Drosophila melanogaster: one gene and its partners. The protein of the gene in region 2 interacts with the protein of the main gene of each other region in a pairwise test. Each region holds a gene or a part of one and is shown on either strand. Other genes may lie near its edges.

Region 1 (4,930 bases), on a different chromosome or scaffold from region 2:
GCGGCTGGTGATCCGGCTGACGCTGTGCTCCATTTTGTATAGTAGTAGCGTTAGGTTAAGTCGGCTCGGTGGTCGCCACTCGCTCTCTGCCGCAATGAGACAGTCTCGTGCTGCTTCTTTCCTTAAGTGTAAAGCAGGCCTCTTCCACGTTCTGGGTTATCCGTTTTAAGTTTTTATAGTTGAATTAGTTTTTGGTTATTTTCTTAAAATATAAAATAAGTGATACTATGGCTAATTTATTTATAAACCAAACGCAAAGGAGAAAATGCAACATTTTGCCGTGTGCTAATCCCAAAACATTTCTTAGGCCAACAATCCTGCGACCTACAAGTAGGTTTAGGCCACTCTATCTCTTAAGAGCTAATTTATTTACAATTGTACGTAGGCTACGACCTTTGTTGAGGGCCATCGCTCTTAGTGAACTGCTAAAAACACACATACCAAAAAAAAAAAAGAAAAAAACGAAACCGGCTTCGAAGAGTTTCACGGGTTTTTAGTTCGTCCCATCCGACTGCTTTCGAAAGCGAATTAGCTTAGCATAAATCAGAGTGAGCCAGGCAGGCGGATTGCGAGTGGGAATCAGGTATCTGAAATCGAGGGATAGACGGATGGATACGGATACTCGGCAGCGTTTAAGCTTAAACACAAAAGACATTAAAACTACGATGTACTCGTTTTTGCTTAGATTAATCGATTACACAAAAAAATGAGAAACACTTAACGTTTACAATGTGATGATAATAGTTTATAATATACACATATAAATACATATAACTATACCTATACCTACTAAAATACCGACTTGTAAGCTTCAAATAGCTGTCGCAGTCTCTTGAGCAAGTTCGGCGGCGAGGCTGAAGAAAACTTTGTAGCATTTTATTTGTTAAGTTTAGTAACACTTCCTCTTAGATCGTATTGCAATTGAAGCCAACGAGATTAATTGTGACGAAAGCTAACAAACAAAACAAAACCAACACAATACCCATACACCATGTAATTTATTTGATATATCATGTGAATCTGAAGCCGATCGCAAAACCGACCAATCATAAGTTCAATCCTATTTTATATACACACTGTAATGGTTTTGAATTTAAAAGCATATGTATAATTTGTACCCTACTCTTAATTAGCCAAATTGAATTTTGTACGACTGTAGTGAAAATAATGACTTTTTAAATATGATTTATCACTGTCCCAAAAAACAAAAAAAAAAAACGCTTTACCACAGCACCGCATTTTTAAGAAGTCAAACACACTTGAATCATTTGACTTGATCATTAAAAATCACCCAATCATTATTCGAGTAAATAAATACAAAGATTATAATGAAATCTACGCAAAATTTGTTTATAATTTATTAGTCTTTTGTTTTTACTTCTACAGGATTTTCGTATGTAGTTTGAGATCATTTTAAGTTTGTTGTCCTCTGCATTTTGACATTATGGCGAACCAAAATTAATGAGTGTCACGCAAAAATGTTACACAAAATATACTCTTCTACTTACTTAAGGTCTTTCCAAGATGATAAACTGATAAACAATGGTTGACAAAGTCTATCTAGTCCATGAGCAAATCTAAATATTAACGAGAGTTTGAAATCAACTTGCGTATTTTCCACGCGATGAAAATACACTTAACATTTAATTACGAATATATATATAACTACAAATACTCTGATATACATATTGTTATATTTTTGTACGTTTAGCTAATTTTTAAATAAATTATTTAATGTGATTTATAAGCCCGATTCCAGTTACAAATAAAATGCGAATTATTACAACTGATCGCTTGCATTTTAAGTGGATATAAAGTTAATTGAGCATAAACATCCAAATAGTGTCAAAGTCGAAACCATGTAAATATTTCTATTTATTTCGAAAATAAATAATATCCTCAAAGAAGTATCGAACGTGAACCAGTACTAGTTCGGAACTCAATACCGCATATTTATAATGCGCCGCCGAACTGAAAGATCGGTGCTATTTTTGGAGTATAGGAACGTCCGCCAGCTGTTTCCAATACTCAGCGGCCGTGTGGTGATCAGAAAACGCGGACAAGTCCCACTTTTTCAGCCGTTGCACCGAAAATCTGAATTAGATTTTACATAATTTTGAGTCCAAATGGAGTTCGACGCCACGTACCACGAGATCTGCTCCGCGCAGACGGTTCAGTCGGAGAGGAGGGGATTCTTCAACGAATTTTGCGTGGACGTGCGTGATGCATGTGGCGACAAGTGGCTGCGCAACTACTTTGGCAAACTGAAGTCCAATGCAGCCCGAGTTCTGTCCATTTTCAGCGATCGCGAGGTGTGCGATCCTGTGCTGGGTGTCCTGGAGCATGTACAGCCGGTGTTCAAGCAGAAGGATGCCCTCTTCTCGGCCCAGCGACGTGCACAGGCGGATAAGCTCTACCTGATGAGCGGCAGTGGCGACGGCGAGGAGAGCAGGGAGCTGCTGCAGCAGGCTCTAATGGCCGCCAATCTGGCCGTGATGCGGGCTCCCGACCGCAATGCAGATCCTGTCCTCGATGAGGGCCTCACCTTGGCATTGGCCTACAGATCGAGGGCTTCCATATTGATCCGCTTGGGCGAGGGGGAGGCAGCATTGAATGACCTCAAGCTGGCCATCAACTTTGGACTGGAGCTCAAGTCCAGTGTGGATTACTACTTAAAGATGGCCAAAGCCTATGCAGGTGGGTCAGCCGGGAGCAACCGATGGTATCATGCTTATGGAAATCCTTTTATTTTCAGTCATGGGAGAACCTGCCCGCGCTGAGATCTCATTGAAGATAGCCGAGAAAATGCCTGGCTGTGATGCCACCCACATCGCACTGTGCCGCAAGGAACTATCATCAGTAAAGCCGAAACCCAAGGAAGCCACCTCGGAACAGGTGCCACAACTGGCACATGGCGAGAGTGCCGAACTAGTTGGTGCGTCCAAGGTGGTGAGGCTGGTGGAGACCAAGGACAAGGGTCGTTTTGTGGTGGCCAACGAGGGTCTGAGAACCGGCGACGTTCTGCTCTTCGAGGAGCCAGTGGCCGCCTGTTTGGAGCCCAGTTACTTTGGCACTCATTGTCATCATTGCTTCAAGAGGTAAGGGATTAATAATGTGAAGTCAGCTGTCAAGCTGTCAAAGAATCCCATTAATTGCAGGCTGCACACTCCCGTTTCCTGTCTCCACTGCTCGGGAATCGCCTTCTGCTCCGCCCAGTGCATGGGCGAGGCCTGCTCCAGTTACCATCGCTTCGAGTGCGAGTATATGGACTTGATGATCGGTTCTGGCATGTCCATCCTGTGCTTCATCGCGCTGCGCATCTTCACACAGGCGCCCAGCTTGGAGCAGGGCTTGGCCACCGCCAATCTGCTCTTCGAGCACTTGTGCTCCCACGAGGAGGACCGCCAGCCGGACGACTACTTGCGGCGAGCTCTGATGTCTGGCTTCCTGTTGCGCATTCTACAGAAGTCGCTGTACTTCGGACGTCGCAAAACTGAGGGAGTGAATCCAACTGCGGTGGAGCTGCAGGTGGCCACCGCTTTGCTGGGCCTGCTGCAGGTGCTCCAGTACAATGCCCACCAGATCTATCAAACCCAAGTGACCGAGGAGCATCGCTTCGACGGCAGTAAGACGGTGTATCTGGCCGCAGGACTTTATGGTACTGGTTCCTACTTCAATCACGAGTGCTGGCCCAGGTGAGTTGTATTATCTTGAATATTATAGAGATCATTAAGGATTCGTCTTATAATTTAAGCACCGCTTGTCATTTTGTTGGCAAGAAGCTGGTCCTCACAGCCACCAGGCCGCATCGTGCCAATGAATTGGTGGCCGTGAACTACGGACCCATTTTCATCAAAAACAACTTGAAGGAGAGACAGCGATCTCTGCGAGGACGCTACTCCTTCAGCTGCAGCTGCATGGCCTGCCAGGAGAACTGGCCACTGCTCCAGAAACTGGACAAGCAAGTGCGATTCTGGTGGGTACTAGCCTCGCTATCAATCGATATACTATAATATCTTTCATTATTAAAGGTGCACCTCAGCCAACTGCTCTAATTTGCTCAAGTTCCCCAAGGATTTGGCAAAGGATGTGCGTTGTCCTCGCTGCCGCAAGAACATCTCACTCAAGGAGAGCGTAGCCAAGATGATCAAGATCGAGGAGCTGTATCGAGAGGCTGCGCGAGCCATGGAGGCCCAGAAAACCGTGGAGGCCATAGAACTTTTCAAGGAGTCGCTCGATATGTTCTTCCAAGTGGCTGCACTGCCTCACAAGGACACCATAGTGGCGCAGCAGTCGCTGCATAAGTGTTTGTCCGATACGGGAACCACATTTAAAAAGGAAGGGAAATGAACGAAAAACTAGTTAATGGCGTGTGCACTTGTATTATTAAATCGTTTTTTTCTACTTGAATGCAAATTAAATTTCATTTTAATGATGTAGGTGTAAATGGTGTACATGCAATTTTTTTAAATTGCCCGCCTTCCTCATTACTGAAATCTAATTGGAAACTTTACTGGGAATTTTACAATTGAAATGTTTTCGCAATAACATAGCTCTGTAAATGCTGCCCTGTTAAGTGTCTGTTAATGGAAACGAATGTTGGTGGTATTTTCTAAAGGTACGGCCACACTGCAGCCGACTTGTTTTGAAATCTATTTGGTTTTGTTTTTCCGGCTAAAATGTTTAAAAAACTTAAGCCAGGTGAAAGTGAGGAGGATGTCCTGCGAATGGCAGCAGAGTTCAATGCAGAGAGAGCGAAGGATCCCAATTTCCAGCCTGCAGCGGCTTTTGTGCGTATGGATAAAGGTGCGGCCAGATTCCCTCTGCTTACCAAATATTTATTAAATACATTTATTGTTGAATTTTTTCACAAATGCAGCTCCTAAAAAGTCCATGTTTGCGCAAAGACGGGAGCAGGCAAAATTGGGGC
Region 2 (5,476 bases):
ATTAAATTCCATAGTGACCGAAGCGTATAGTACGTAAAGAAAATTGATTAAATAATCAAGCAAATCCAACTGTGTGCGAAAGTATTATTGCATTGGCCAATAAATAAAGATTTACTGGGCACAGACTTACGAGGCTTTTATTTGTCAATGAGATTCAGTTTTAGGGGTCTTTAAAGATAACCGCCTGAGCGCAAATTTACTGAGAAATGCAAATATTAGGGAAACGGCATGAGTAATAAAATGGTTGAGTTTTCGGTTCGCCAACATAAAATTAATTTTTGGGCAGTTATTTTAGATTTGGATTTGCGTTTTTGTTAACTAGTGTAAGTTTAGCTGCGGATGCTGTAGCAAAACATTTTCGACACCTAACTAGACTTATACTATCATTCTGATCTATTATATTATACCAATGTGCGTTTTACATCTGTGTAGTTACAATACATTTGGGATAGTTTTTGATCTCCAATTTGAAACAAATAAATGCGTAAAATACAATGAATTCCTACAGATATCGTTGCAAAGACAGCACATAACGGTACATTTAGATGGCAGCAGTAAATGGATTCAAAATCATATGCAAACCTTACTGTGTAACTGTTTTCTTCATTTTTTTACAATATTTTTTAATATTAGACATTGATACTATATACGAATGTAGATATGTAAGTTGTGGAAGGCATCAGCATTTGTTTACTTCTAAAAACGCAGAAAACTGGGAATTTCAACAATGTCTGGTTGGATCCGGCTGCGTTATGACTGCACAATTTACAATGTCAAAGCCAAGCACTTAATAACCACACATATGCGGATGCCCAATGGTAAACTTCCATAAGTTTTTTTTAGACCTCAAATAAAAATAAAAGCACTCACCCTAAAATTCCCGAGTCAGTTTGGGTTGAACGGTGTGACCAGTCGACTGAAAGCGAAAAATGTACACTTCAAATTTTAAGCTGCAAACACTTGTCATGTAAGAGCTATTGTATATTTTGCCGAATAGGTTAAAGTTTTTGTATGCAACATAATATATTAGCAAAAGGACAATAGAAGAAATATATGCAACGTATAATAGTGATACATACATTGTAAAGTATCCGTTAATACACTGTTTCCACTTTTTAGGGCATTTCGATAATTACCGATAATTCTTCAAAAATATCCTGTAACGGCCTTACCTCAAATATTGATTTGTATTTTCTATTCTATTATTTAATATTTATCCTGTTAGCTTATGGTTGGCTTTTTCACATTTAAAGATCGATATGCTTGCGTTCGGCAATTTTCGCTTAGTGGATATAAAAGCGGAACGACTGGAATTTTTTCGCATATGAAACCTGTTATCCCACCGATCCCTATCTATATTTTAATATTTCAATATAAATAGTTTTGTTTCCGCGATAATTCAGCTAAAAAAAATTTTATCGATTGCATGCATTAAGTAACTGAAAAATTAACAACAAACTTTAATATAAAAAAAGCCCGGTACATGAGAATCATTTACTCAGAAACGCGTTTATGAAACGCTTGCAATTCCCAGCAATTATGCCTAACGCGTAGTTTAAATAACAATTGATTGCTACAGAAGCAGACAGCGCGAAAGACAATATTAAGTTTATAATTTAAATATAGCTTGAAGGCAGAGTTAAAAAAGGCAGATACTCAGCGCATAACGTGCAAATCGATTTGGCACTTTAATTTGCCGTTTATTTGTTTATAGTCTGTCAAAACAAACAGTTGTACATAAAAAAAGGAAATATAATCGCGCGCATGCAGCATTTCTGGTTAAAATAAACATTAATAAAGCAACGAATTGAATGGGACTCACGGACAACGATGAGGGATTGTAAATAGAGACATTGGTTAATGCCTGAAATGTACATATTTTTTTGTGTTGTGCACGATTTGATGCAAGAATAGTGTGTATTTTTAAACAAGACTCCGGCGCTGATACATTCATACATAGCTCACGCGCACAGGACATACAGTCCTAACATAAAATTCTCGTTCGTTTTCACGCCATCGCATCTATTGTGTTACATAGCGCCCAAAAAACGAGAAGTAAAGAACTATAATCAGCGAAGTTTCGGTTCCTTGGCAAACAAACAGGTATGTATTCAGATTCGCAGGGATGCGTACATGTATATAACGCGTACATTCAACTGTTTACATCCTTATTACTAAATATAGAAGTAATTCCAATTGTGCAAATCGCTAGTGGAGGTGTACATATGTATTTATGCAAGCGTGCGTATGTATGTGGGTACATAAAACATGGCAAGTGAAAATTCGCATGGTCTTCTCCTCAGTTTCACACTGAGGACATTATTTATTTGGACGATTATCAAATGTAAATAAGCATATACCTCTGCACCTGTATGTACGCTCGTGTGTTTGTATGTATGTATGTATATACAGTGGTCAACTGCTAAAAAGAAAGCAAATAAAAACTTAGGAATAACGTAACTGTCATGCAAAAACAATACAAAAAAGTGGAAAAGGGACAATGCTATTTTTAAACTCATATATTTGGCTAAAATATTCTTTCTTTTAATCCATTATTAAATGAAATGCAAATATTAATGCAATGCAAAAAAAAGAAGTATCTTTTTTTTTCATATATCAAAAATCAAACAAAAGGAGTTCATATAATATATATACTTAATATGCAATACAATATTTTTAAGGGAAACCTACTAGAATTATGATGTCACGAGAAAGATTCGGTCAAATTACTTGATCCTTATTCTTAGTTCATTCAAGAGAGTCGAATTTATGATATATTCGAATTATTGTCTATTGACGATAGTTATAATTTATCCTGGAATTTACCAACACTCTATTGCAGGATATACAAGGATCTTTAAATGAGCGATAGCTTCGTAAACTCAGGAGCACAGTAAAGGCGCGAACTATATTTTGAGTACGATGAGCGGCGCTACACAGGAATTTTGTGTACGCTGGAACAGCCATTTGGGCAGCATTGGAGCTGCTTTTCCGCAGCTGCTAGCAGGCCAGAGATTCGTGGATGTAACACTCGCATGCGAAGGCCAACAGGTGCACTGCCATCGTCTGGTGTTGGCCGCTTGTTCCACCTACTTTGAGGCAATACTAGCGGAGCATCCTTGCAAGCACCCGGTCATCATATTGCCCAGGGAGATCAAGCTATGGGAGATCCAGGCGCTTGTGGACTTCATGTACAAGGGAGAGGTCAATGTCACGCAAGCCGGTCTTGGCCAGTTGCTTCGCTGTGCCGAACAACTGCAGATTCGCGGTCTATACGGCTCTGAGGCACCGATAAACTACAAGAAACTCCAGCAGGCGAGTCTCGAGGCTGCTAAGGATCCAGCTGCAACCACAGCGCGAAGCTTCAAGCATGTGGACAGCGCGGAAACGGACGATGCAGCCACTAATTCAACCACCTCAACAACAATGACCACCTCCTCCGCTCCACCGCTACCGGTTAACCATCAGCAACCCACAGTATTGAAGCGCCAGAATCCCGATGCTCGGCAGCAGCAGCAACAGCAGCAGCAGCAGCAGGTGCAGCAGCGACCCCAGATAAATGGCAGTAATGCTCAACAGCCATCTAAGGCCACCTCTACGAACGTTTTGGGCAGCCACTCGAATGCACCAACCGAGGATGACTCCGGCGACGAGGTGCCGAACAATTGGAATGCCTACGGGGAGCAATTCGATGATTGCAATATATCTGCGCAAGCCGTTGACAACAAAATGAATGTCCACCTATCCCTGCAGCAGGCGAGGTTTGTTTTTGCATTAATATGACAAGTATCTCTGGATAAATATATATATCTTTTCACAGGATGCAAATGCAGCTTCAGCAGCAGCAATACTTGGATTCAAATGTTGAGGACGACCACAACTATGTGGCCGCTCATGATGAAAACAATGACAGCAGTTTTGCGACAGGAGTGCCATGCGGATCCGGGCTATCCCTCAGCCTTGACACTGATCTCGATACATCGGCCAATACTTCCGGAGGACTGAGCCATAGCTCGATCGATGGTTATACTTCATATAAGCGCGTTCGACGTTCAGAAGCATCTCTAGCACAAGCGGCCAAATGTGTTTCGAAGGGCGAGACATTCCAAACTGTCAGCAATATGTTCAATATTCCTGTCTCAACCATTCGTTTCTATATGGCGCGAAAAGGAATTCTTCCGAAGCGGAAACGTGGACGTGGTGCTTCCCATGCCGGAAACATAATAATCACAACAAACTCAGGAAAACTCTCAACCGTCCCAGCGAGCATAACTCATCCCCCAGCCCATCCGCATATCCACACCAATCCCCTTCCTCACACGCAGTCTCAGCAAATGTCCATGGACAGCCTACATCTCAAGGCGGGCATCGCAAATACCAGTGGCAGCAATAGTCCGGCAACTGCAACGGCAACGTCTATGTCACCATCATTTGATATGGCCACAACAGGTGATATTGTGCCTTTTCACCTCCATAGCGATGCGGCGGCATTCAAACTCAACGATCAGAAGCTGCACATGATCTAACCACGCAATTTGCCAAGTTGTGCTGTACTAGTAGGGCGTGTATTAATAGAGAGGGATTTCCAAGCAGTAGCTGCTTTCTTTCATTTCGGGGTACGCATCGGCTCGTGTGGGATCTTTAGTCATAACATAGTCAACAAAATACAATTTATACATAGGTTTACTTAATTACGCTTTGGAGATGCCACAGTTTTATCCTTGGTTGAAAAACTCTTGCCGTTCAATCATTATTCATTTTACTTTGGCAATCATAAGAAATTACAGTAGATGTATGCTATCAACAAGGATTATGACTAAAAACTTGCGTAAAAATTTCAATTATGTTTCTTGTCGCCCCAGTACTTTAAGGAATTACTGTATTGTTAATAAGATAAATAAAATCGACCTGGAAACTTTTACTGGGTATTCGTGTGATTGCAAAGATAAGATGAAAATTTATAATAAACTCGAAGGTCGTAAAAGACATAATCATAATGCTAACAGCTTAAACTAAATAATAATGTAAAGTAATTATTATTGGTCAAATACATCCGATCTATTTTAAAACCATGTACTTTTCCTACAAGAATACGCAAATCTTCAATACTTGCTTACAATTACTCGGTTTGTTTGTTTGCTTATTTTTTTTGGTCATTATAACAATTGGCCATAAATGCAAGAATCCCAATAATAAATTACGTTGTGAAAGTATTATTAAATACATAAGTACTGTGTACGAGATGATTGGGCAATAAAAGTTTAAATGCATTCAAAGTAACAACAATTTTTTTTTTGCTAAATTTATTATTTGAAATTTGTACTGTTACTGTCAATCATTTTTTTTTTATATTTGTACATATGTATGTAGATTAGCACAGTGCAGGCGCAGAATGTTGAAGTGGAAACGGCGCTTTTTGAATACTTCTCATAGAATCTATTTCTTTTCATGTTCAATCAACGGTCACACTGTAAGC
Region 3 (5,083 bases), 6.7 Mb from region 2:
GCAGGTCGTGTGTGATGTAGAAAAGTTCCGGACAACGACTGGCATTTTTGACAGTTCGTCTGGGGGAACAGTCACAAATCGCCACGACTACTTGATTGCCCGGGTAGCCGGATTCGTTCAGACTCGCTTGAAATTTCCACTGCACTTGTGCGTCCTGACATTCCTTTTGGCTCCCAACTACAGCATGCCCACTCTAATCCATAGCCTCCATCGTTTTCAAGGTCCTGCCGTTTCCAATGGTTGCCCCCCGCTCTTCATTTACCCGGAACCATTGTTTCGGATATCAAAACCCGGACTCGGTGGCCTATGTCTATATGATCTTCAAAATATGTTGAGCGTAGAGTATTCTTTTTTTCATGACTTTGTTTAATGCAGTAATATTAACCTGCATTATTAAAAAAAGCCTACAGCTTAAGAAAATGTATTTAATATGCTAACTTATTTTCTAGATTATTTCTAAATACAAACTAACAATGAACAGAAAACAAATCGTATATAGAAATTATAAATAACTTGAATCCAGCTAATAAACTAATATTAAGGTGTGTGCTAATGTAATCCATGTGAATGATATCCACGGTTGAGCTGGCCTAATGTATTAATAGCATGTTGCTATCAATAAATGCATATTTGATGCTTAGTTTTCAATAACAAACATGGGCGTACCGCCGATCCCGGCGCGTAGCAACCTACTACTGGCCGGGAAGCGGACCCAACAGCTGGCGAGCGTGTTATGCGGTTGCCAGGAGAAAGGCGACACTAGAAACTTTGCGTCGGGTAAGTCCAAAGATTACTGTCGTAGAAAAATATTTCTTGGACGTCAGTTTATTGTTAGTTCTTGCTATGATTAGGGGACTACAAATCTATGTTTTTTTCTGCAGGTATATAATTTGAGTTTTCTGTGGTATTTGGGCCTTCTTTTGCTGCTGCTGCAACAGTTGAAGTTGAAGTTGCTGCAGATGATGTGGCTTCAATTGCAGTTGCTGTTGCTCCTGCTGTTGTTGCTGCTGCTGTTGTTGCTGCTGCTGTGGTTGTTGCAGCTGCTGCTGTTGTTGCTGCTGTTGTTGTTGCTGCTGCTGTTGTTGCTGTTGCTGTTGTTGCTGCAACATTAGCTTCTGCTTTTCCTGGTACTGTTTCTGCTGTGTTTGTATTTGTTGCTGGTGAGCCAGGCGTCGCCTCTGCTTCTCGAACTCTACCAGATGCTCCTGCTGTTTGCGCACCAGCTCGTCCATCACCTCGTGGTTGTAGGTGGAGTGCAGCATCAGGCCGAGCAGGTTCGCTCGCGAGGTGAGCTGCTGCCGCATCACGCGCTCCTGCTCCATCAGGTCGTCCATCTTGAGCCATTGACGCACACGCTCCAGATCTATCTCAGCACGCCGGATCTTCTCCCAGGCGTAGTGCTTGAAGCAATTCTTCTTTGGCGCACGACAAAACTCGCCCGTGGGATTGAAGACGTTGTTCACTAAGGGCGAACCACACACATCCGTATCGTTCACCTTCGGATCCTTGCTGTGCTCCGGACACAATACTCTCAATCGCTTACAGTAAGTCTTACTTGCCGGATTGTAGAAATCACAAAACATATTGTTTCCCTCCATTCGCGTTTTGAATATGCTCCCGAAGCTGGCCTGCGATTCGTATTTGTTGAAGCACTTCTCCATATGCTTGATGGCAGTGCGCGAGTGAATCTCGTGGCCACAGGTGATGCAGTACATGCTCTGTTCGTCCTCCATGTCGGCGGTGTCTTGTGACCCCAATGTATCAATGGAGCTTCGTTTGGCTCGCTCCACCACCATGTTGAGCTCTTCGGAGCGCTTCTCTAGCTCGGCAAGTGCGAAACGCACCAGGGACTGCTTATGACGAATGTTATCAAGATGCTTGCGTGTTTCCTCGGCGGCGCGGCTGGGCGTTAGATTCCACTCTTGCAGTCGTTGCGGCAGAACCTGAGAGTGTAAAGGACTTTGGTGTTTAATTGTCATAGTCTGGCCAAAAAATGAAACTAACCTGGAAGATGCGTTTTGTGGCCAGATTGAAGCCACACTTATCGCTGCAGTACTTGCTCTGCGGTCTCGCATGGGAGCAGCAATTGGGTCCGTAGCACTGCCGGATGCCTTGTAGCTCCGGATTGAGGAATATCTCCGGACTGGCCGCCCGCGGGCCCACTTGGACATTGCGACTCTTGGGTGCCGCCTTTTCCCGCTTCCTACTTGGGCCGGCTTGAGTTGCCTGCGACTCCTTTAAGACCGTCGCCGCCTGGACAACGCAGGTGCGGAATATGCAGCGCGGCTTGTGGCCCACGCGAACGCGGCACGCGTCGCACTGGTTGCAATTGGGACGCCGGCATCCCTCACAGGTACCACAACGTTTGCCCATCTTTGGTTCTCGGGCGCTGCTGTTTTTGCGCTTCGCTGCCGCAGTGGTCGGTGGCGGCGCTTGCTGGCTGGTTGTTGCGGACGCCACCGGTGCAGCAGCAGGCGCAGCTCCCGATGGACCTACGCCCGGGGCATTGAGACTTGTAGAGGCGGCGTTCGATGCGGCTGCCCGTTCGGTGGCCACCAGGCGGAATATGGTTTGTAGTTCGGGATTCTCCTTTTTGCAGCGCCGGCAGTAGTACTGTTTGATGTGTTTAGCCTCCTTCTCGGTGATCCCTATACAGTCGCCGTGGTACCACTCCTCGCAACCATCGCAGCCTCTGGAAAGCGAAGGGTACAAGTAGTTAGCCGGGATCTAGCCCTTTAAGGCCATTCAACTCACATCATGAACCTGGAGCAGTCGGAGGAGCGGCATATGCAGTACGCTTGGTCTTCCTGCTTTAGAATGGTGGCTATCTTGGACTTGCGCTCAGGCAAATCAAATTCCCGTGCGATCTCCCGCCTGATTTCCTCTTTCTGTTTGGAAACCTCCTTTGTAGTTAAAAATATGATTGCCGTGCAGCGGGTGAAACTTACGGTCTTCTTATATTTGCGCTTGTCCGTCATCTCGCAGCAATCTTTCCGACAACAAATCCAGTCCAAATCCAAATCCGTCAATTAAGTTTCATGGAATTTTTTTTTGCGATGGAGATGGTGAATGAAAGGATATCGATAGCCTACTAATAATGTATTGCAGACAATCGATAGGTTCTGGCCTAATAAAATATATAATATTTAGCATAAAACTACGTTGTAGATTTTAATTGATGTATGACTATACAATAAAAACAATTTTAGGTATTTATTGTAAGCTGTGTATAAATATAAAATGCTTCGTAACACTTATATCGAGAGAACTAATTCCATAGTCTTAATAACAAACGATAGTGTGTTCGAGATCTATGAGATTAAATAGAGTTCTTGAAAGAGAAACAACGTGAATATAAAACCTACAAAAGATTGTTACTTTATATATACCTAATTTTTATTTTTCGATAATCTTTAAGATTTTGCCGCGGCCCAGTATTTTCGAAGTTTCGTAAAATTAAACATCGATAGAAAAATTAAGCATCGAATTACCACTGACATTGTCGGCTTTTTCTCACCTCTAATAACCGCGCGGTTTTTTCTTTGTATTTCGTTACCATTTTTTCTCAACTGAACTGAATTGAATGTGAATAGTCTGCAATTATGGCGGCCCTGAGCAACCTAAAACAGTGTCCGCCGTTCTCCACGCTGCCGGATCTGGCGCTGCGGCACAATCACATCCCAGAGCTGGAACGCTATCCGCAGATAAACCTGAACAGCGAACTTCTGGCCAATCCGGCTGGTCAGCGGTACTACGGCGGACAGAGCTTCGTATCTGTGAATGAGGGTGTCCTAAAGCGCATAGCTCGCAGCTTCTTTAATGGCGGATTCTGGAAGACGCTGGAGGAGGCACGCAGCCCAGAGACCAGGGAGCAGGCGCCGCTTATTGCCCAGGCGGGTGATTTAATCGCACAATTTCTGGGCCTGGCCACCGGCCTGAGGATCCTCCCGCACACCCAGCAGCTTAGTGCAGAGCGTATTGCTCAGTTCGTGGAGACCAGGTGGGTGGGGCGCAGCCAACTGACCAATAATACCTAAACCTTACTGTCCCATTCATTCAGGGATTGGCTCAACAGCGATGTGCGCTATCTTGCCTGGAATCAGCACTTCTTTTGCTTAGCCGTAGCCGGTGTAGACGATGTGGTGCGCATCTACACAAAGAGTTCCAGTGCGACCACTGCCACTGTTTTAAAGAGTCCATCCCAAACGCAGATCACCTGCATGGCGTGGCGTCCACTCTGCGCTTCCGAGATCGTGATAGGTTGTCGGCAGGGTCTGTGTTTCTGGGAAGTGGACAGCACTTTGCATTTGGGACGCACAAATGCACCCAGCGAGATTTTTAAATAGTCAGTATAGAAAATTTATCGTTAGTTGGTAAATACATAACTTATTTTCCCTTTTAGCCCAAACAATCTGCCAATAACCTCGATGCAGTGGAACAAGGATGGCACCCAGTTGGCCACCGCCTCAATAGGAGATCGTTCCATTATTATCTGGCAGCCGGACACCGGAATGATGCAGCCACTCAAGCGTTTGGGTCCGCCGGGCTCGCTGCTGAAGTGGTCGCCGGATAATGACTGGCTGTTCGCAGCCACCGTGGATCGGGTGTTCCGCGTGTGGAACTGCCACCAGCAATGGACCACCGAGCGATGGGTGTGCGGTCCCGGAGGCTATGTCCAAACAGCCTGTTGGTCGCCCTGCGGTCGCTTCCTGCTCTTCGTCAGCAGTGCCGAACCGATTCTCTACCGCCTGCAGTTCGTGCAACAGAGTCTGCTATCCTGTAAGTACGAAAGCTTTGAGTACGTATTCAGGGCAGTCTGCTCCCAGTGTCTGAACTGAAACGGTGGTCAGATACAAGGGTGCGATTTGGGGCTGCCCCAGATCAAAGCAGTCAGTAACAGGTTGGCGGCTGTTGCAGCTTACAGACCGCCTGTATAATGCTGACTACAAAAACAAAAACCGGTACCAATGTACTAGTTGATATTTAACATATTCCGTTTTTGTATCTCCTTGCAGCTTCGGCGGATGAGAAGGAAATCCTGCCCATTGCAGATCTAAATGCTTGTAGCATTGATGCGAATCGC

Evidence for each region. Proteins that work in one complex are often made in the same cells at the same time.
Region 1: the proteins of CG8924 (region 2) and Smyd4-2 interact in a two-hybrid assay, tested with the Drosophila melanogaster proteins (one large-scale study listed by BioGRID).
Region 3: the proteins of CG8924 (region 2) and Cfp1 interact in a two-hybrid assay, tested with the Drosophila melanogaster proteins (one large-scale study listed by BioGRID).

The regions. Positions count from the first base shown.
Region 1 is NT_037436.4:12,399,017-12,403,946, reverse strand, and holds Smyd4-2 (SET and MYND domain containing, class 4, member 2), read left to right. Parts: upstream 1-2,011; 5' UTR 2,012-2,126; coding exon 2,127-2,697; intron 2,698-2,755; coding exon 2,756-3,098; intron 3,099-3,158; coding exon 3,159-3,695; intron 3,696-3,754; coding exon 3,755-3,976; intron 3,977-4,031; coding exon 4,032-4,350; 3' UTR 4,351-4,408; downstream 4,409-4,930. Other genes in the region: CG32104 (uncharacterized protein), read left to right, coding at 4,680-4,806, 4,880-4,930.
Region 2 is NC_004354.4:15,939,530-15,945,005, forward strand, and holds CG8924 (uncharacterized protein), read left to right. Parts: upstream 1-1,547; 5' UTR 1,548-2,103; intron 2,104-2,842; 5' UTR 2,843-2,922; coding exon 2,923-3,761; intron 3,762-3,820; coding exon 3,821-4,526; 3' UTR 4,527-4,920; downstream 4,921-5,476.
Region 3 is NC_004354.4:9,269,912-9,274,994, forward strand, and holds Cfp1 (CXXC finger protein 1), read right to left. Parts: upstream 3,050-5,083; 5' UTR 2,979-3,049; coding exon 2,755-2,978; intron 2,693-2,754; coding exon 2,005-2,692; intron 1,944-2,004; coding exon 864-1,943; 3' UTR 523-863; downstream 1-522. Other genes in the region: aladin, read left to right, coding at 3,603-4,000, 4,061-4,345, 4,403-4,779, 5,016-5,083. UniProt on the Drosophila melanogaster protein: Component of the SET1 complex that specifically di- and trimethylates 'Lys-4' of histone H3. Essential for Set1 association with chromatin and trimethylation of histone H3 at 'Lys-4' at transcription puffs.